Linked DNA regions of Coturnix japonica. The protein of the gene in region 5 interacts with the protein of the main gene of each other region in a pairwise test. Links are inferred from orthologs where the notes say so. Each region holds a gene or a part of one and is shown on either strand. Other genes may lie near its edges.

Evidence for each region.
Region 1: the proteins of PSTPIP1 (region 5) and TULP3 interact in binary tests that used the Homo sapiens proteins (3 or more experiments, as listed by UniProt). The two-hybrid records come from large-scale screens. The link is inferred for Coturnix japonica from reciprocal best matches to the Homo sapiens genes PSTPIP1 and TULP3.
Region 2: the proteins of PSTPIP1 (region 5) and LSM4 interact in binary tests that used the Homo sapiens proteins (3 or more experiments, as listed by UniProt). The two-hybrid records come from large-scale screens. The link is inferred for Coturnix japonica from reciprocal best matches to the Homo sapiens genes PSTPIP1 and LSM4.
Region 3: the proteins of PSTPIP1 (region 5) and UBE2W interact in binary tests that used the Homo sapiens proteins (3 or more experiments, as listed by UniProt). The two-hybrid records come from large-scale screens. The link is inferred for Coturnix japonica from reciprocal best matches to the Homo sapiens genes PSTPIP1 and UBE2W.
Region 4: the proteins of PSTPIP1 (region 5) and PTPN12 interact in binary tests that used the Homo sapiens proteins (3 or more experiments, as listed by UniProt). The link is inferred for Coturnix japonica from reciprocal best matches to the Homo sapiens genes PSTPIP1 and PTPN12.

Annotation. Positions count from the first base shown.
Region 1 is NC_029516.1:68,389,294-68,393,746, forward strand, and holds the start of TULP3 (tubby-related protein 3), read right to left. Parts: upstream 3,042-4,453; 5' UTR 2,824-3,041; coding exon 2,783-2,823; intron 238-2,782; coding exon 186-237; intron 1-185. Other genes in the region: RHNO1 (RAD9, HUS1, RAD1-interacting nuclear orphan protein 1), read right to left, coding at 3,277-3,918. UniProt on the Homo sapiens protein: Negative regulator of the Shh signaling transduction pathway: recruited to primary cilia via association with the IFT complex A (IFT-A) and is required for recruitment of G protein-coupled receptor GPR161 to cilia, a promoter of PKA-dependent basal repression machinery in Shh signaling.
Region 2 is NC_029543.1:3,005,649-3,009,990, forward strand, and holds the start of LSM4 (U6 snRNA-associated Sm-like protein LSm4), read left to right. Parts: upstream 1-1,538; 5' UTR 1,539-1,653; coding exon 1,654-1,656; intron 1,657-1,780; coding exon 1,781-1,822; intron 1,823-1,950; coding exon 1,951-2,049; intron 2,050-4,197; coding exon 4,198-4,342. Other genes in the region: PGPEP1 (pyroglutamyl-peptidase 1), read right to left, coding at 1,231-1,264. UniProt on the Homo sapiens protein: Plays a role in pre-mRNA splicing as component of the U4/U6-U5 tri-snRNP complex that is involved in spliceosome assembly, and as component of the precatalytic spliceosome (spliceosome B complex).
Region 3 is NC_029517.1:106,928,066-106,931,870, forward strand, and holds part of UBE2W (ubiquitin-conjugating enzyme E2 W), read right to left. Parts: intron 3,437-3,805; coding exon 3,334-3,436; intron 1,010-3,333; coding exon 854-1,009; intron 1-853. UniProt on the Homo sapiens protein: Accepts ubiquitin from the E1 complex and catalyzes its covalent attachment to other proteins.
Region 4 is NC_029516.1:11,319,835-11,323,639, forward strand, and holds part of PTPN12 (tyrosine-protein phosphatase non-receptor type 12), read right to left. Parts: intron 1,349-3,805; coding exon 384-1,348; intron 1-383. UniProt on the Homo sapiens protein: Dephosphorylates a range of proteins, and thereby regulates cellular signaling cascades. Dephosphorylates cellular tyrosine kinases, such as ERBB2 and PTK2B/PYK2, and thereby regulates signaling via ERBB2 and PTK2B/PYK2.
Region 5 is NC_029525.1:2,414,396-2,418,200, reverse strand, and holds part of PSTPIP1 (proline-serine-threonine phosphatase-interacting protein 1), read left to right. Parts: intron 1-247; coding exon 248-329; intron 330-1,960; coding exon 1,961-2,031; intron 2,032-3,805. UniProt on the Homo sapiens protein: Involved in regulation of the actin cytoskeleton. May regulate WAS actin-bundling activity. Bridges the interaction between ABL1 and PTPN18 leading to ABL1 dephosphorylation.

The DNA.
Region 1 (4,453 bases), on a different chromosome or scaffold from region 5:
TATGTAGTTCTGAGCAACAAATTATGAAGTAAATGAAAAGAGGACAGGTAATCAAGAGGAAAAATGGGAATGGAGAAGAAGGGAAAGAAAGGGAAAACAAGCACTTTAACTTTCCTTTCTAAAATAAGATGGCTAATGTTTGTTTTCCTTCATTTATTTTTGCCAGTTAATGCACAACCACTGACCTGATTCTCTAGTTTCAGCTGTCGTAGTTTCATGCCTTCATCCTCAAAGATGCTGGAAAAGGCAAGAGACAAAAAATTATTACCAGAAATTAGTTTGCATTATATAAAAACACGACATCCACAGACTGCAACATAGTTGTCAAGGCTCCAACTGTAAAACACTATTTCTAGCCCATGGGAAGACCAAGTAATAAGGCATTATGAAAGAAACATACTTCATTTTCTGTCACAAACAGGACCGGTGATTCAGTCACTGAACTAAAATTCTCTGAAAACATTTTGTAAGCAAAAAGCTTTCATTACTCAAAGGCTTTTGCTACAAATTATGATGTATTATTATTATTAGCCAATGCTGTGGCCACTATTGGGCCCCCAGGAAAATATGCAAGTCCAGCAAAGGGTCACAGAGATTACTGAGCGACTGGAGCATCTCTCATATGAGTTCAGAGAGCTGAGAGTGGTAAGATCTTCATGGAACCATCTCTGCTGCAGGCTGAACAAGGTATATAAACACCCCATGACAAGGCATAAAGATGGAACCACTAGTGCCTACTGTCAGAAAGAGAGACAGCGGGCACAGTTTAAAACATAAAAAAAACACAAGAAAATGCTTTTTTATTGTGGGTCAGTCAACATTGGAACAAACTGCATATCAAGGCTGTGGAATAACCTTTTGTAGAGATACTCAACAACTGAGCAGACATCCCCCTATGCAACCTGTTCCAGCTGACCCTATGGAGCAGCAGGGTTGGACGAGATGATGTCCAGAGGCTCCTTCAAACCTTTGCTGTCTCTGTGATTGTGCCTGTTTGGGTTCTGGAGACCACAAGATAAACAGAAATTAAACCAGTTAAATGGCACAAAATCACTAACTCAGGTAGACAGCAAAACTTCTATGAAGTTTATCGCTCTTCATGCCGAACTGCACTTGTTTTTATAGTATGTCTAACTAAAAATGAAGGAAATAAATGAAAAAATATATATGAATTAACATTCTAGAGCTCAGTGTGGAGTTTCAGTTTCAGTCTATATCCAGCTTTTTTTGTTTTGTTTTTTAGAAGTTTGAATGGGAAGCTATTGATAAGAATGAAACAGCAAAATGTGATTTCCATCCTGAACTAGGATATGCAGTTAGTAAATCCAGATTCTTGTTCTATTTTTGCCTGGAATTTCACATAAGAATATTTAATGGGAATGGGGAGTATGAACGATGAGACACAAGCTTTTGGATGACATCCCATCGATTTTATGTTTTAAACAACAGAAGTATGGATAAAAGTTCTTGCAGTGGACTAAGAAAACACTTCTAGGCATGTCAGCAAATGCATTCACAGGAGCATTCATACCATGACCCAATTACAACACAATCAACAATATAACTGTGTAGACTGTCCAACTGTGTCCCATTGAGAGACTGAAGCAATCCCAGTCCAAGTCTACCAACAGAGAGCTTTCTCATACTATAAAGACATCAAACAATACAATATCCAGGAGTGGAAGGGAACCGTGGGGATAACTGACTATGACCCAATACCACAAACCAATTGAACTCTGCTGCCCATCATACACCACTATCCAACACTTTTAATGTCAGACTGTCCCAAATGAAAAGGAAACACGTAGCATTTATCAAAGTAATGAAATAACACTATAAACATAATGATGCACCTTAGTGCTTAAAGAAAATCTAGATGAATGTCAGACTTCAATATGATCTCAAGCTACTTTAATTACAGCCATCGTAAATGAAAGATAACATTGGCAGAGAAGAAGTTAATACAACACCACAGTATTAGAGCCTACTTAGAAATGGCCTTAACCCAAAATCTCACCTGCCTGTCCATCAAATAAAATTATTTATGTCTCAATATCTATTACATATCGCTGAATAGCAAGAAAATTTCATTTCAGAAAGAAAAAATACATATATACTGACCATCTGATTCTCACATATAGCTTTCTTAAGACTCTACAAATGGTCTTAAGAATCTACTTAATGGTCTTAAAAATCTACTTAGGAATTACGTACATTTATTCAGGTTTGTGCATTTTAGTATTCTTACATTCATCACTGCAACCAAGAAACGTTACACAATTCTTTGTTTCTCTCTTTACTGGCATTCCCATCACGTACCCTCTGATGCTTGGATAGAAAACAGTTCTTTTCCTGCATTTCCAAAATCATTCATCACATTAATCACCAAAATCTCTCTTCACTGTACATCACACTGAATTCTCAGTCATTTGTGGTTTCAGCTATTCAAACCCACGGGCAGAATCTCTTCCCAAAATCTCTCTCCCAAACTTAACGTGCTTTTCCCATTACGTCAGTTAAGTTCCCATCAGTTGCGTTCCCCCCACCCCCCACATGCAGTGGCCTAAGAGCTCGCTACCGTTTTCACATCCCAAATGCTTAATTATGATTAGAAGCACGAGGTAACACACAAAAAAAGCCTCCACAGTCGTTTCGCTCCCGAAGACGCTGCTTCAATCAAAGTCTGGAACCGTGGTAGGGAAACCGAGGCTCAGGGTCAGCCTGAGGAGGGACTCGCCGCAAATCGCTTCGCAACCTCCCTGCCCCGCTGGGCCCCACTCACCTGCCCCCACCGATCGCGCATCGGCTCCTGGCACCCTCCATCTTCAGCCCCGCCTTTACTACGGGACCTGGTTTCGATCTCACCGCTACCCTTGGAGACGGAACTCGTAACTCCGGCCCTGCGCCATTGGCCCAAGCGGGCCGCTGCTCCCCTCAGCTGAGAACTCGAGCCGAACATGCGCATAGAGGCAGCCAGGTCAGCGCCGAGCCCCGCCTCCACAGTTATCATGGCGGGTGGATGTGGAGGCTTATTGCACTTACCGCCCTCCCACAGCCCCTGCGAGGAAGCTCAGTCAAAAGTAAAATCACACCACTCCCCCCCTGAGAATAAAGTGCATCCTACGCGTCGCTACCACTTCCCAATAGAACTAAGATGCCCCAGCACAATGTATGGCTTCGTTTATTACCCCTCTTTGCTCTTTTCAAGGACTTTCTGTGTTTGTATTAGACCATATTTATATTGTGTGTGAAATGGCTGTTTTGCCAAACCAAAAGTCAGCCTGGCTTCTTGAGTTCAAGGTCTGCCTTCACCAGTATGTCAGCAGTGCTCAGCTTCCCTCTGTCTCTCAGGTACTTAAGGAGATGAGGCCGATGTCTCCAGGTCACCTTTATTCCATAGTCACGCTCAGGAGTATCCGTAACCAGTGTTGCTGCCAATTGCTCGCTCCCACAGTGGTTGACACTGGACACCAACTCAGCACAACTACTGCTTTGTGGCAGAACGCTGCTACCTGTCCAGTTCTTTAAAGAAGGCAACTGTGGCATCCCCATATCTAGTGGACTGAAGACTTCTGGCTCTGTAGGCTGAGAAACAGGTAATGATGGTGTTTCACTATAGTTCTCAGTACCATTCACCTGGATGTTGGCTTTTGATCCTATCCCTTTCTTGCACTGGCCGTGAGAATGCTGTGTGTTCTTTCCTGCGTGACTCAGCACATCCGTGGAGCGGACTGCACGTTCTTCTGAATTCTCAAAATTTAAAGGAGGAAATTTGCAGGCCACAGATCTCCGACAAGCTCTCTCTGCATGAAGCAAGCCAGAGCTGGCATCCTGATTCTGAGGCTTGTGAGAACCACGTTGCTTCTTCTGACACACTCTCAGAACCAATGACTTAGTTGTTTCAAATTGGGGGCACACCTGAAGACATAAGAAGAAAAAAAAAAAAACAAAAAACCAAAATGGTATTTTTCTCCAGAGGAACACCAACCTTATTCTACTCCCCCACCCATCCCATCTTTCCTCAGTGTGTTGATTAAATGGGTAAGCTGGCCTGCAGCAAAGCAAACTAGTTGTTATCCAAGCTGGTAAGCAGGAAACACCTCTGAACTTCAAAGTTCTGTTCTATCACTTTGATAAGCGAGTGGAGTACAAGTGAACTATTATGGCCCAAATATTCCTGAGCAACTATAGCTACAAATGGGAGTAATATGAAGATAATGTTCATTAGGCCTTCAAAATATTCCCCCAAAACATGCTTTCCTCAAACAGTTACTCTACAACACAAAGATTAACAGATGACCACAAAGTCAATTCTACTAAAATCAGCTTTCTGTCAAAGCTCAATAACCTATACTTCATTGAAAGACTTTGGGCACTTACTCAAGACTTGCAAATCCTTCTTTTTACAGTAGTCTTTATCTTCTGGGGTTTCAAAAGTCAGTCAAAACAGTCC
Region 2 (4,342 bases), on a different chromosome or scaffold from region 5:
GTGATGGCATAGAATGGGGATCATGATTGGATCTTCTAACCCTGATTGTAACAGCCCACAAACACAGACAAGTCTCCATCCAGCATTTCTCTGCTCACACCTTCACCAAAATCCCTTCTGCCTTAATAGGAACCAAACAAAGCACTGCTGACCCACCTGCACCGAGCACCAAAGGTTACACAACGCTATAAAAACACTTACGTCCCCAAATCTGCATTTCCTAATGAGTAACTCGGAGTTAACTAGTAACCCATCACATCTTTCCCTGAGCGAGCACACAAAGGTTGGGCATTTATCTGGGCGTGGGATCGATATGCTTTAATTTCAGATGGCAGAGCTACCCTGTGAGCCTAATGCAATCAGAAGGCACGCACTGCATCTAAGTCAGGACCACAAATATTACATGACACACTAATGGAAACCTCCCATGTGCTGCCAGCAGAAGGGGAGGGCTGAGGTTACACCGCACACAACAGCAACAGGGCTTTGTACAGCTCAATGGGATCTCAGTATCAACCTGAGCCTCCAAGCGGAACCAGCATCAATATCTCCCCATAATAACCCTCCTGAAGGCTCCCACAGGATCCTAATGCACTTGTTGTTTCTCCATATATAAGCTATAGATGTGAGAGCACCAAACAGGTGTTTCATTGGGATGGTTTCAATATGAATCACACCAGCTTTCCAGGTACCCCAATGTAACCAAAACCTCTCGTTCTGAACCCAACTGAGCTGCCCCCTCACTCATCCTCCACACCGACCCCCAGATCGATTCCTTGCATATCAGATGAGCAACTTTATGGGTAGCACCAAACCCAGCCTCAGCCACCCCACACCCAGCACAGGGTCCTGCCGGGCACACAGCACTGAGCCCACCCTGCAGACCTTCATGGGGTTGCAATGGGGTCTCAGTGCGACCATCAGGGGCAGATCCAGCACCATCAGCTCTGAATGTTTGAAGCAGAGACCACCCCCCAACCCCCCCGGGGCAAGAGATGGGACAAATACAGCGGGGACCGGGGGGGGGGGGTATAACCGGAGGGGTCTGTGACACGCCGCAGCCCCGTCGCGCCCCTCCCAATCCCCGTACACCCCCACCAGGACCCCGACACCCCCATGTGCCCCTCACCGCCCCCTCCCAATCCCGCATCCCCCCCGTTGAGATAATGGAATCAGAGCCCACCCTGCCGTCCCCTCCCCACCCCCCGGTCTCGTTCCATCCGCCCGTACCCGTTACCACCACCGCCCTCCGCGGTTTCTCCATCTCCGCTCCCGCACCGCACTGAGCGACCGGCCCCGCACGGTCATAGAGCGCGCTCCGCCCCGACGCCCAGAGCGGCCCCGCGCGGCCATAGAATACGCGCCGCCCCGAGGACCAGAGCGGCCCCGCGCGACCATAGAGTGCGCGCCGCCTCGCTGCCTAGAGCGCCTCCTGAGCGCCGCTCCGTGCCGCTTCCCGCTCGGCGTTTCAATTTACGGCACTGTCGTGACGCTGTGCACCGCCAACCTCGGCGATGCTTTACGGCCGAGGCGGGTCCTGCACGCTGATTGGCTCCGCGAGGACCGCGCCGAGCTCTGATTGGTCCCGTGTGGGGCCGGGGGTGGTTTGAGCGGCAGCGCCCGGCGCGGCGGCGGCTCCGCGGTTCCGGCACGATGGTGAGTGCGGGAATGGGCCGGGCCGGGCCGGTTCGGTTGTCCCGGTACTCCCTGAGCCCCTACATGGGGATCCGAGGCGGTCCCGGTTCCCGGTTGTTGAGGCCTTTCTCTCTTTCCCCCGCAGCTGCCCCTGTCGTTGCTGAAGACGGCGCAGAACCACCCTATGGTGAGTCCCGGCCCACTCCCGCTGCGGCCTATGGGCCCGGTGCCGCCCCGTCGGGTCCCGTTGGGTCCCCGTGCCGCCCCGTCGGTCCCGGTTCCTTCATGCTGACCCCCCCCCTTTGCTTCTTCCAGCTGGTGGAGCTGAAGAACGGCGAGACGTACAACGGGCACCTGGTGAGCTGCGACAACTGGATGAACATCAACCTGCGGGAGGTCATCTGCACCTCACGGGTAACCAGCTCAATGCCAGGACCCCCATTGCGCCCATAGACCCCCTACTTTGAACAGCATCAAAGCAGATCAGGAATGAGTTGTCCCCATTGCGCCCATAGACCCCCCCCATTGCGCCCATAGACCCCCCATTGCGCCCATAGACCCCACATTGCTATCAGCCCCCAGCCCTGCAGCTGAGTGGGACTCGCAGAGATCCTCACCCTTCTGTGTGTGTTGCTTTTGCTTTGAATGTGAATGTAACGCAGTTATGAGGTGTAAGAAACGAATGAGCCCATTGACAGCAGGGTGAAGGTGCTCAGTGTGAAGGGCTGGTGACAGGTCCTGTCCCATTGCCCGCTCCATGCAGCCCCATCGAGCACAGTGCTGCCTTTCATCATCACCTGCCTCACGCCCTGTAACTCCACATCAAAAGTTATTAGGGCCTCTTGTTTAACCGGGTTGTGCCTCGTCTGCTACTTTTGCCCATGGCCAAAGTGCTCCGAGAAGAGATTGGGATCTGTGCTTTGAGCTCTGACCTCAGCCTCAAGTGTCTGGTCTTGTCCCTGGCAGCCTGTGCCTGGCCACGTTCCTGCTGCTGCTGCTGCTCTCTGTGCCTGGGAACATCACGGGTCTGTGGGGGAGGCTGTCAGGGAAACCCTTCTTCTTCAGGAAGGGTTTCTGTGCCTGTTGGACCCACAGCAGGAAGGTATTGGCCAATAGTGCTGGGGCACGGAGATGTGATGTGTGTACTTAAACAAAGCAAAGGTTTAAGAAGGATCATAACAGCAGAGCAGTGAGCCCTAAAAATCTGGATCCACAGATTGTTGGGGCAGATAAACAGATAAGTTCAATGGGAAGGGGTGGCAAGTGGCAAAGCCTTACTAGTGCTTGCAGAACAAGGGATGCCGGCCTTTAATACTGCTTCCTCATTAAGCAGCTTTGTGTTGCTGTGGGCAGAGCACTTCAGCATTTATACCCACCGAGTGGTCTGCAGTTCACTCCCCACCCCTAAATACCCCCTGGGTGCTACTGGGGGGGTATATATGGAAGCCTTCCTGGTGGCACGGTGGGGATCAGCCACTAGATGGCATGGAGCTGCGGCAGCTGTTTACATGGGGAGCTGGAACGAGGAAGCCGGGGACCTGGCTCCATCCCTTCCTGCATAGAGAGCCAAAGTGCAGCCGGGCGGATCCAGGCAGGGTGGGGTTTGCTGGGTGCCTGTTTGAAGAAGGCTGCTTGTCTCACACACACGGAACTTGCCTGTGCATGCTGCATTGCCCCAAATAACACCGGAGCAGAGGAGGAGGGGGGTACAACTTGATTCTGGAGAGGTGAAACGAGGCATTCTGGTTTCACCCACTCCTCTGGGATGTTGTGGACACTCTGTCCATGTGTGATAGTTGTGAGGAGCCTGTGTTCAGCCAAGCCCTGCAGCAGAGCACGGCCGTGCGCACGAGGTTCCATCCCTCCTCCCGCTTACATCAGTTGTTGTTCAACTTTCACATGCAGTTCCTATTCCCACAGCCACAGGAGCTGAAGCCCTGATGGGCTGTGTCCTAGCAAAGCCCTGAAACTGCCTTAAACAAAACACAGAGGCAGCTGCTCCGTAACTTGGCACCCGAAGGTTTCTTTGAACGTGATCTGTAAGCTCTTATTTTCCACAGCCGCGGTTCCTGTGCGCTGCTGGGCTCACCCCACACCCAGCTGGATGCTCCTCGCTGCTCAATCCACACCACAAAGGGGTTCAGTTTGTAGGTGACTCTGGTTGGGGCTTTATGTGCTGGAACTGCCCCGTGTTGCAGCAGCTGTGTTGAACTTACCACATTTCCCTCTCCAGTCCCACTTTCGATTCTCTTCTTGTATGAGAAGCAAAGGGAAGGTGCTGTTTCCTCTTCTTCCTTCACTTTCTGTGAGAGTCAAAGGCGGTTGTGAACGGGCTGAAACTGCAGTGGCTCATGGCTGAACGCCCCCTGACTCCCCAGCAGGTTGTAGGGCTGCGTGTTTTAAAGGGAAAACAGGAATTTCACAGCTAATTATGGGTTGTACATTCAGAATAGACTATTACATCTGTCGCACGCTTCAGAAGTGATGGAGATATTCAAGTGTCAAAAAGCAACTTAAGTGCACGTGGTTTTGTTCTCAGCTTAACACGTTGCTTCCCAATAGGATGGTGACAAGTTCTGGAGGATGCCAGAGTGTTACATCCGTGGCAGCACAATTAAATACCTTCGGATCCCCGATGAGATAATTGACATGGTGAAAGAAGAGGTGGTCTCCAAAGGCAGAGGCCGTGGTGGGATGCAACAGCAGA
Region 3 (3,805 bases), on a different chromosome or scaffold from region 5:
TAGGAGCTCTGACCAAATTAACTTCCGCACAAATTCAACTCCAAAGCTAATGGTCAAGAGTAAAGGAGCAACCTCTTTTACAATAGAAGTCCGCATCACTCATGTATGACCAAAAAGCAGTTTCAGATCATTTACTTTTCTGAAATAAAAGCGATCAAAGTCAATAAAAATAGTACAACTGCAAAATCACAGGTATCTGCAAAACAGACATTTCAACAGTTGTTTTGAGTGGCCTTTAGAGACAAATAATTTTAACAGAGCTGCAAGAATTTGGCTTTACATGTTAATATAACATAATGACTTTGTACAAGTAGAAGTATTCATTTATGCTTCTTCTCCAATAAAGTAGTACAAACAGGTTGCCATAAAAAAAGTTACAAAATATTTACTGTACTATTTAGTTTGCAGTTCTAGCTTAATACTTTCAAATAGCAGAAATACAGATCACAGTATAGTGCGGGTTGGAAGGGACCTTAAAAGATCATCGAGTCCAACCCCCGGGATTCGAGCCTCCTGTGTAGCAGAGCAGCACTTCTAACACTTGCACCACAGGGGGGGGATTCGAACCCAGGCCTCCGGTGTTGCAACGCAGCATTCCTACCACTGCGCCACTGTCACTGGCAAGTATGTAGCAGGTTTGCCTATTTTAGTATTTCAGAAACAAACAAACAAAAAAATCTTACTTTTCAAAGTAGAAAACCAATAATTTTCACTTATTCTACTCCAATGGTGCTGAAATCAGCAGGTGGAGACAACTCTGCCCATTACAAGAGGACTGGAACTAAATTATCTTTAAGATCCCTTCCAACCCAAGCCAGTGACTCTAGGAGAGAAAAAAAAAAAAACCTCATACCTTTTCTTTGCAGCTGGAAAGCATGCTAATAATGCTAAGACAAACAGATTGCACTGAGAGAGCTGGAGACCAGTCTTCTGTTAGAATGGACAAACAGATATGACCATTGCTATAAACATGTGGATGAACAGGAATATTGTCACCAGTAAACATGACCTAAAAAAAAAGAAAAAACCACCAAAATGTAATCTATTGTTCAACTTTTAAATAAAAACTATGCAGATTTTGTAAAAAAAAAAAAAATAAATAAAAAAGCAGGTTCTGACATTATCATTTACAAGAAATAACATAATATACCATATTACATTCATTCATTTTTTGAGCTGTTAGTCAAAATGTAAAATGAAATGACAAAAGCCTTGTGAAGGTGAAGTAGCACAAATGGCCAAATGCAGTTTTTTTCCTGTGAATAGTTACAAAACACAAAGAACATAAAAGCAACAGATGTAGCAAACTCTTAAATCTTGCATCTTCAGTTTTTTTAAAACATCCTATTTACATCCTACAGCTGCCTATTAGGAAGGTTAGATTCACAAATTAGTATTTCTTTGGACACAATAGGATATAAATTCTAGACAACTCAAGAAGAGTTAAACACACTAATCCTATTAACTAGAACATAAAGGACTCTTACAACCATACTGCATTATCACATTGGAAATATTTTAAATTGTTATTTAAGTGGAATTTTCTTTTAACAGAAGCAAACAACAGAGAACAGCACTGAGAATCTCAACTTCTCTCTATTAAAAAATAAAGGTTAGAAAATCAATTTTGACAATTACTGCTCTTACAATAAGTTTGACAAAAACGTAAGGTCAGCTCAGGACCAATGAAAAGGGAGTAAAAACCAAAATCCTCACAGCAGCATTATCCTCCTGAGCTCCTTATTCAACATAAGCACCGTAATCTTTTATAAAATGACATAATAAATCTCTACCACTCAAATCACAACATCTTCTTAAGATTTTCTCAGTTCAGGTACGTGTACACACACCTCACCTCATTACTGACTACCAGAAAGAAGTTTCAGCTTCATCACAAATGAGGTGAGAAAGCTCAAGCTACTTTCCAAATGGCATGCAATTTTTTTAATGACAGCAGAGAAAAGTGGATGCAGAATGATCTTTGTCTGGTATTTCTTACGCACTGAAAAGCTTACCTCTGTAACTTAGTATTTAATTTCTAACTAATGTTTCCATTATACAAGAAAACCAGGACTAGTTAAGCATGCATGCTTAACAGACAACACTCAAGGCAGAAAACAATCAAGTGATTGAACAGGAGAAACAAATTGTCAATTCAGAGGAAGTAGATTTATAGGAGAAAGAATTACAAATCAAGAGCTTTAAAGCAGAGAATTATTGTACAGCAGCATGATAAAAAATTTTAGCCACAACAAGAACTAAATATCCAGTGCTTTAATTCTTAACTGCCTTTTATGCTTGCAAGGAAATAAATACATTTGTCTTTGTGTACTGATTTAGATTGCTGTTTTACAATAATTTTTACACAGTCACATGCGCATGTTAGATAAAGAGTACAAACAGTACCCACTTGGAATCAAAACAAAGTGGGTCTTATGGATCACCTATGAGAAGCTTACTGCAAACCTGATAAAATGCAGATGGGAATGGAATGTGCCAGTTTGTTCCTTAAAACCTGAGACTGAAGAACAAGCATTTCTAGTTTTCACCTTAATCCTTACAGATACATATTTTTACAGTTTATGTGACTGCCGCAGCTCACTCCTTGCTGGAGCTTCAACAGCCATGAGAAAAGCAGAGATGACTCTTCAAACTTTGAGCTGAAACAGGGCCAGAACTAAAGCACTCTTGTTTCTTCTTTCTTTCATTTTCAGGAGAGCTGAAGGGATAACTTAACACCTGCTTTCCTCCTCCAAGCCTAACTTCTCTCAGGTAATGGACAGATGGATGTACAGAGCTCATTCCACACCCTAGTAGTAATGTTGACCCTCCAGTACTTAATGTTGCCATGAAAGCAGTAGCTCACACCTTAATTATAACCACTAGATTTGCAGACCTCTCAGAGATGCCAGGTGTTCATGAGAATTCCTACCACATGAACAGTATTTTGACAGCCATATTAACAATGGCAGTAGAGAAGGTAGAAGAGGTTAAGAAAGGACATAGAAGCTGAAGAGGAGACTAAAGAATTGTTTGTTGTTCACTCGTGTGCAGCAACAAAAGGAACCATCCTACTATTCTGTGTTGTTCTTTCATAGTGTATAAAGAAACCTCAAGAATACACCATTCTTTCATCTTCCATGAAATTAAGTGGACTGTAGTAGGCACTACATCTCACTTGTTTCAATTTATGTTAAACATATTGTGCAGGTGTGCTTTTTCTAGAGACAACTAAACCTCACCTTAGGATATACAAATGGCATTAGTATTCAGCATGTACCACACAATTATTACTTAGAGACAGAATTAAGTAGGAAGGAGGAAAGCAGATACCTGAGGCGAATCAAAAGGATATCGGCTACTGAACTTAAATAGAAGCTGAAATTTCTCCCCTTCATATAGCGTTCCTGGAGCACCTTCCATGTCTACAATCCACCTAAGAATGGAGAAACAAAATAGTATTATGGACTAAAAGATGATTATTTTACTTCTTGAGCACAGGACAAATAAAATCAACTGCCATGCAGCCAATCTTCCAAACTCTCCATTAGCAAAGCTATTACAGAAGTGAATAATGCATCAAGCCCACATTTGAAAGAAACAAGCTTGGTATTTCATATACAGACACTGCCATAGCACTGCAAATTATTATGACTTGAACTCATCACAGACTCATCAATTCCCTGTTATGTGAGACACAGCTGACATAGAAGACTTCCAAAGACTATTCTTATACAAAAATAGGCTTGGAATAAAATAGAGTAGCAGGCATTCTCCTTCCACGTTTCTATTTTTCTGGCAAGGA
Region 4 (3,805 bases), on a different chromosome or scaffold from region 5:
TCATTTTGTGCAAACTTTCCATGCTCAAACAATTTCCAAAAAGCAGTAAGATTTTCAAAGCACTGCTCAGTTCATTGGTTAAAATCATTACTGAAGCAGAACTTGGATTAATTTCACATGAACAGGATTGTGTCTTCCAGGTCATATACAGAAGAGGAAGAAAGAGGAGCAACTTCCAAGAGTGCTGCAGTGGAACAAATTGCATCTACATTTTTAAGATCAGCACGTCAACCATTAAGCATTAATTTCTCCAGGAACATCGCATACACCAAATCACCCAGACTTCAGCTACCCAAAGCCATTTAAACTCACACTGAAAAGTCTGTGCAGCAAAGAAACCAGCCCCATTCTACAGATGTAACCAGGATCACACTAACACATACCTTTGCCATCTTCAGAACCCGTTACAGCAGCTAAGTCTTGCCTAGCAATTGACATTGGCAATACTTTTCTGGCAGAAATGTTTTCGGTAGTAGTGGCAGCAGAAACAGTGGCACTTGCGGTTGAAATATTAGATGCACTTCTGCTCATGGCTCCATCAAAGTTCATTTCATCTGTGTCAGAATCATCTGAATGAAGAGGATTAGTAAAACAGAGGGGTGCTCGAAAAGAAATAGCAGTATGGTCACCTTTATCACTGGAAGGAAGTTCAACTGTGGTGTTCGATACTAGAGACAGAGCATTAACCCCACGACATAAGACGTCTGAAGACACGTCCTCAGGCACTGACGCACGCAGTGCATTTTCAGGCCCGTGCAGTGACCACCTGGCATGTCCCTTTTCTGTTAGAGGCAGACGATCTGGTCTTGGTGGGGTATCAGAAACCTGTTGGCCCTGTGGACTTTCTGGTGAAGGTATTAAGGCTGTGTTAGACTGTGGCACACTGCATTCCATACACGAGTTTTTAGAAGCATCCACAAATGAATCCCCTGAAGTCTGCTCCTGTGACTTAAAGTTCTTATCAATTACAGAGGATGATGCGGGCTTAACTTTAATTGCATGTCCCCTGTTCAACAGGGAGTTTCCATCAAAGCTTCGTGGGCCTTCCTGAAGAGGTACTTTCCTGATTTCAAAGCTCAAGTTGCGCTCCAGCCTTTTCTCCATACGTTCACTGGGTTCACTCTTTCCTGAAAGTTCCGTGGTTTTATTGTAATTCTCATTGAGGTCTGTTGAATGCTCTGATGAAACCATGTGCAAAACTGGCTTTGGATGGTATCTGTCATTGTCCTGCCACACTGTAGTGACTGTTGGATAAGCTGATGGAGGAGATGGTGTTAAGATTGGCGGTACTGGCTGAGGCTCCGGAGGTTGCAATATTTCTTCTTTAGCATCTCCTTCTACAAGGCAACTGCAAGAAACAATGATGTAAGTTTTCTGTATTTTGATAACATTTTAGATAACCTGTCTCCGCTGTAGTAATACTCTGACACCGATACTGAACTCCAAGAAGCACTTCCACTGCATACAAATGACATTTATAAAATATGACTAATGGAACCGGCAAGAATTATGTCAACACACACTAAAAGTTTTTCAGTATCACAGGGGTATAAATTCAAGCCAAAGCTAATCCTCACTGATGCTTTAAGGATTGCTCACATCCTTTCCCAGCAGCATTCCTTCACAGATGTCTGCCAGGCCCTCTTGCGGCAGCATTCCAGTACTCTTGGCTTTCTTCTTATTTAAGAAGTAGCTCAAAGGAATTCGGCATTTGGAATACAATTTTCAACAGAGCTAGGAAATAAATTCTTTTAAAAGGCCTTATATGAACTAGAATACAGCTCGTCCGATACCAAACATCTTTCTTATTTTCCTTCACATGTCCAGAAGGATTTCACTATATTTGTGTATTTGTTTCACCATAGATTTAAGGCTAACAGCATAGATCAAATTTAACTGACATGAGATAAACACTATAAAACATTCACAGTAGAGTAGGATTCAATTTACAGTGCATATTAGCAAGATCACTGGCAATTATTGCAGCTCGTTTTCAGCTTCTTCAAAGAAGCTCTACAGGCATACGGTCAATTGACTTTCACATTAAATACAGAATATTAACTATCAATTATTTTGCACAACTAAGATCCTGTCCACAAATAGGAATCTTTTTCACTTCAGAGCCTTTAAAAATATTTCCTTTCATCACATAAGGTGATGCGCTGATGTGCAAAGCAAATGAGTGAAAAGAACAGAAATGCAATTTAGTATTTTAAATAAACAACAGCTTTGATTCAAGTACATAAAATCAAAACAAGACCCCAGGCCCCTGTGCTAGACAGGTTGTTCCCAGGGTCTTTACTGACTGGTTCAGGTGGCCCCAGTATCAGAGTAACCTTGAGTAAAGCAACAACCAGCTAAACCCCCATACACCTTAAGATTTTTGGGATAACTGTGTCAGAGGAACTATAAATCATCCAAACCCAGCTCTGCAGCAGGAGACATGGAACATTCTCTTGCAGACAAGGTTATAACAGAACATTGTTTTCTCTTGAAAGTCAGGTTACTGCTAGACCATAGGCTTCCTTCTGTAATCCAATATCCTGAAGAACTGAACCCATTCAAAGAAACCCATCACAGTACTTCTGTGAAATATACTTTTATTAACAATGATAAAGACAAAAAGCAGAGGCTTTCAAAATGGCAAAAACTCATTACTAACTTGCTAGATGACAGCATCTGCAATTGTGGAAACCTGAAAGAGTGTAACATATCTAGCAGACCTGGAAGGTGTGCCAATAACAAATCTCACGCCGTAAGGACCAGCAAGATGATGGGCAGATTACGCAGCCCAGACTTTGTGCATTCAGGCTATTTACATGGAACCGCCCCTCTCAATCACAGAATCACAAAATCATAGGGGTTGGAAGGGACCTCCAGAGATCATTGAGTCCAACCCCCCGTCGATGAAGGATGAGACTTGACATATTTTGTGGAAGAGAAAAATTTCATGATGTGCCATCAGTTAACAAAGAAACCAAGCCTTTGGACTTTGTAAGTGAAGCGTGGTATCCAAATACAGGCTGCCACTCAATTGCCAGGAAACATACAGCTCTACCACTAGATCTCTTCTATATATCTAAACATAGTTATCTTCTATATATCTAGATATCTTCTATAGAGGGAGCTCTGACTGAAGTCTGAAGTCTAACATAAATAAATTTCAGCAACTGCAGGGAAGTTCAAAAAACTCAACTGGATCATCTCAGTCAGGCACTCATGTAAAGCCATCAGAAATAAGATGCATCTTTTTGAAGTTCTTTTTAACCAGACAATAACTTGTACAGAGTGAGACCATCAGAACTGCCCAAATATGGACCAGACCAAGGAAAAGGGCTGCTAGTAACAGTTACATTTGTCTTGTTGATCAAGGCATTCGGGTTTTCTAGTCAAGTCTCCACTTCCCTTTTGTTGCAATCAGACAACCGAAAAAGCTTTCTTTTTCTTTCTCCTCTCACTTGAGAGAAAGCAGGCTAGTGTCAGCTCCATGGGCCAAAGGATATTTACCTCCTGAGTCAAGGTTATTAAGAAAGCATTCATTAAAAAGATAGGTAAAAGGCTTATATGGAAATCACAAGGTAAATGTTAAGTTCACTGTCCTTTCAGCACTGTATTACCCAGTAATTTATGGTGAGGTCTCTTCTCACACTGCTCACATACATCAGTCTATCTTTGTCTGCCAGCAAAACAAGAAGGAAGAATGATTCAGAAATCTTAATGGCAATTTCAGAAAGGTTATTGGAAAGCACAGCAGACAGTGAGAAAACCCCAACAGCTACAAAACTGAACTTCTACCTCTTCCCCA
Region 5 (3,805 bases):
AGGATCTCTCACTGTTGTTGCAATGGCTCCTCACGACTTTGACTGTGCTTGTGCCAGGACAAGAACGCCCTTCCACCAACAAGGCATCTGCACACAAGCACTTGAAAGGCTTTTGTCAAGCACCTACATCCCCCTGAGATGCCCCAAACATGTTACTATTCTGCTATTCTGTTGGCTGCACTCTGATTGAGAGAAATAGGTTTTGCCTGATTGAACATCTCCTTTTTCTTTTGTTGCCCTACTGCAGGTGCAATAGGATATGAGAACTACTACGACAGAGAACCAAACAGAAGCAACAGCCCAACCCAGACCTGTGGGATGATGAAGAGGTAAGTGATGAATTTTCATTCCCAGACGTACTACTTCTCAGTGTATGATGATGGCACAGGGGTTGGAACTAGATGATCTTTAAGATCCCTTTCAACCTAAGCCATTCTGTGAGTCTATGTTTCTGTGACAGTAAACGGGACCTGGATAGTTACTTCTTCTTTCACTGTAGCAAGAGACAGCTGCATAGAAATAAAACTAACTCGAGAGAAGAAGTAAACCCATTAAAGCTGGAGTCAGAGCCATTTTGCCTTGGCCTAGTGGGAAGAGAGACAAGAGGACAAGTTCATAAAACAGTCTGCTGGCAATAGAGAGCATTCACACTTATTTCCTCTTTCCTAGTGAGTCATGGCACACAGCATCAAAAGCACTCTGTGCAAGGGAGGGCAAAGGTGAGCCTTGCTGGGAGCCAGGGCTGGGGAGAGCTGTCCTTTTCAGCAATGCCTCCTGGCTTAGTGCATTGCGATGCCCAGCTGGGAACAACAAAGAGCTGCTGTCTCTTTCTAGACCAAAAGAAAAAATACTTAGTGGAATAACTGTGATGATAAGGGAGGTGCTTTTCTTTTTCTAATCCATTTAAGCTGGTAAATATAGTAATATGAATGCAGTTATATCAGCGGAACAGCACGGTAGAGCTATTGGTTTAAATATTTTATACTAAAATGGCTAATTCATGGCAGAAATGGCATCATATTTAAAAGCAGGAGAGCTTTGTAGTTTGGCAAGTCTTATTTTATGGCAAAGACAAAGAGGGGGCTGAGATCTCCCATTTAAAACGTGGGCCAGGCTTGTTAGCGAGCTGATAAGGTTTATACACAATATTTGGTTCCCTGTTGGAAACAAGATTTTATATAATAATGAATCCTAACATTGCAGCCTCTGCAATTACAGAAGACAATTGTATGGCCATTTAGAATACAGCTGTGCCCAGCAGGAGCAAACAGCCTTCAGAGGCTCAGCCTCAGTTTTTGAGAACTCATTGAGCTTAGAAATCCATTTTCCTGAATCACTGACCATTCACCAGCTGAAAAATCAAACCCTCGATGTACATCTTAAGCACTCCATACTACTGCTACCTACACTTATATCCTAAACCATCTTCTCGCTTGGCCTGGTCACCAGTTCCCAGCCAGAATCCAGCTGTGATATAGAAAACAACTAGGTGAGATTAAAAAATAAATAAATAAAGGAAACAAAAGTATTTCACTTAAATTCACTATTTCTAGAAAGGTATGTTAGAAAGGCTTTGTATTTTGAATTGCATTGGTTTTCCCTAAAGGAATTGTATTCTTTTGTAAACAACTGAGAATTCTCATCGTATCGATAGAATGAGATGATTGGAATTCTGTTTCATGAGTCTCTGGATCCACAACACAATATTGTGTGATGCATTTAGTGCATCAATTTAGCGATGACCAGCAGTTCATCTGGTTCGGTTATTTTCTAAGGTTTTTTTTTTCTTAGATTTTACTTTAACTGAAGGTAAGAGTATCTATAGATAAAGGAAAGCAGATGACCATGGGAAGGGATGACATCCATGTAAGGTCAAGGGGGAAGGTTAAGTCTGACAGCTGAGTCTTGTAAGAAATGCCCTGCTCACTCATTTTGTCATTGACTTCTCTTGGTTCTGCAGATTCTCTGGACTGTTGCATGGAAGCAGCAAAAACAACACTGAAAGCGTCATTCCTTCAGCCCCTCCTTTAGGTATGCCTCACCAGGGAGTAAATTCACCAGATGTGTTTAACATCACTTGCTAAGTCCAGCTTTAACACAGAGCAGAACTACAGCACACGTTCACATGATGTCAGGCAAGAGAACGAGCAGATCGAAAACAAATTCAGCTCAGATTTCCCAGTCTGAAGTACTAAATAATCTATATAACCTTAGGGCCATAAGAACCTCAAGACCTCTATCTGGGTAAGGGCACACTGTGCTTTCAGACCAATGCAGTTTTAGTAAAGATAATAGTATTCTCCTTACGTTGGATATGCTACCTCTAAAAAGCACAAGGGAATCCCTGAAGTCTTTAACACACCTGCCTCATGCCTTATGAATACAAATATTCATCTCATTTCACACTTGGACTGCATTATCACAACCCGTGCACTCAGGCATTTATCAGTAGGGCATTTAAAACAGTATTTTGATCATGCAGAAAGCAGCAGCTTACAGCATTTTTATTGATTTAAACCCGAAACATTTGAACTGAGATTGCTGCCTACAGGAAATCAAAAAGTTCCTTTAAAACAGCTTTTAAACATACTCAGGTCAATTTCCTTTGCAAGGCCTGCCTTGCCTGCTTGGATGCCCAGTAATGAGGCTGCAGCTACCCCACTTGCTGCATTTAGTGCTCAGGAAGCACAGTCTCTCTGGAGCTATCAGGCACCAGCTGGACCTGCCAGGCCCCAGCTGCCTAACTCAGCATGCAGCAGCATCCACATACACACAGCCTGAAGGCATTTGGTCTCTTGCAGAGCTGTGTAACGACTACATACAGGAAAAACTTACCAGAAATAGACAACAATATTACATCAAATGCTGGATTTAACAGCAGATCTCGACTTTATCCAAGTAAACAGCATCTGTGGTGGTACCTTATGCTCAAGCCTGGTATAATAATCTCCCTCTAACTGCAGAAAAAGCCCTGCTGGCTGTCCATCTCTCATTCAGACATAGTGTGGAGCCCAAGTAGACCTTGCTGCTCATTTAGCACACCACAGTCATCACATTTTGGAAACCACTTAAGGCAGTGTTTTCACCTGGGCTGACATACCAGGTTGTGAGCATGTAATTAGAGCCTGCTCTCCCCTTCATCTTTAGCCAGCCCTGAAGGGTTGGACTGCTCACACCACGGCTGCCCTTCTCTTCCCCACACAGCCCCACTGAAAGCAAAGATGTGCTTGGGAAGTACACGAGAGCAGCTCTAGCCTGGACTACTGTGTCAGCACAACAGCATCCACAGCAGCAAGGCTTTGGTACTTCCATTTTACCACCGTGGTTACGCCATGAGCACTAGAACAGCACAAGAGACCCAGGTGGTTCTTTTCAATAGGGCTAGCTCTGTCTCTTCCTGAATCACAGTTTTCCTACATAATGACAAGCCGGTTTAAAATATCCTCCAGCAAAGTCCCATCTGTGACAAACAGCTAAATGGAAACTATGTGAACTAATGGAAAATGTCTGATGACCCACCACACCAGCACGGTATTTTCCACTTTTCTTAAAGGAAAAACCTCTGCATGAATCACTGAACTGCCAGAATCTCACATCTCCAGTAGCAAACAGTTTACACCAGTTTACTCACAGTACTTCCTTCTCTGCACTTCTGTGGTCGTGCTTTAGCAGGGTAAACATCTTTCCCAACCTGGATGAAGCTAATGCTCCTGACTTCCCAGAAAGCTCAATGGGGGCACTGTCCCCCAATCAATGGGACACAGTTTTTGTGCAAGAATTTACCTACAGTTCACAGCAGCTTTTC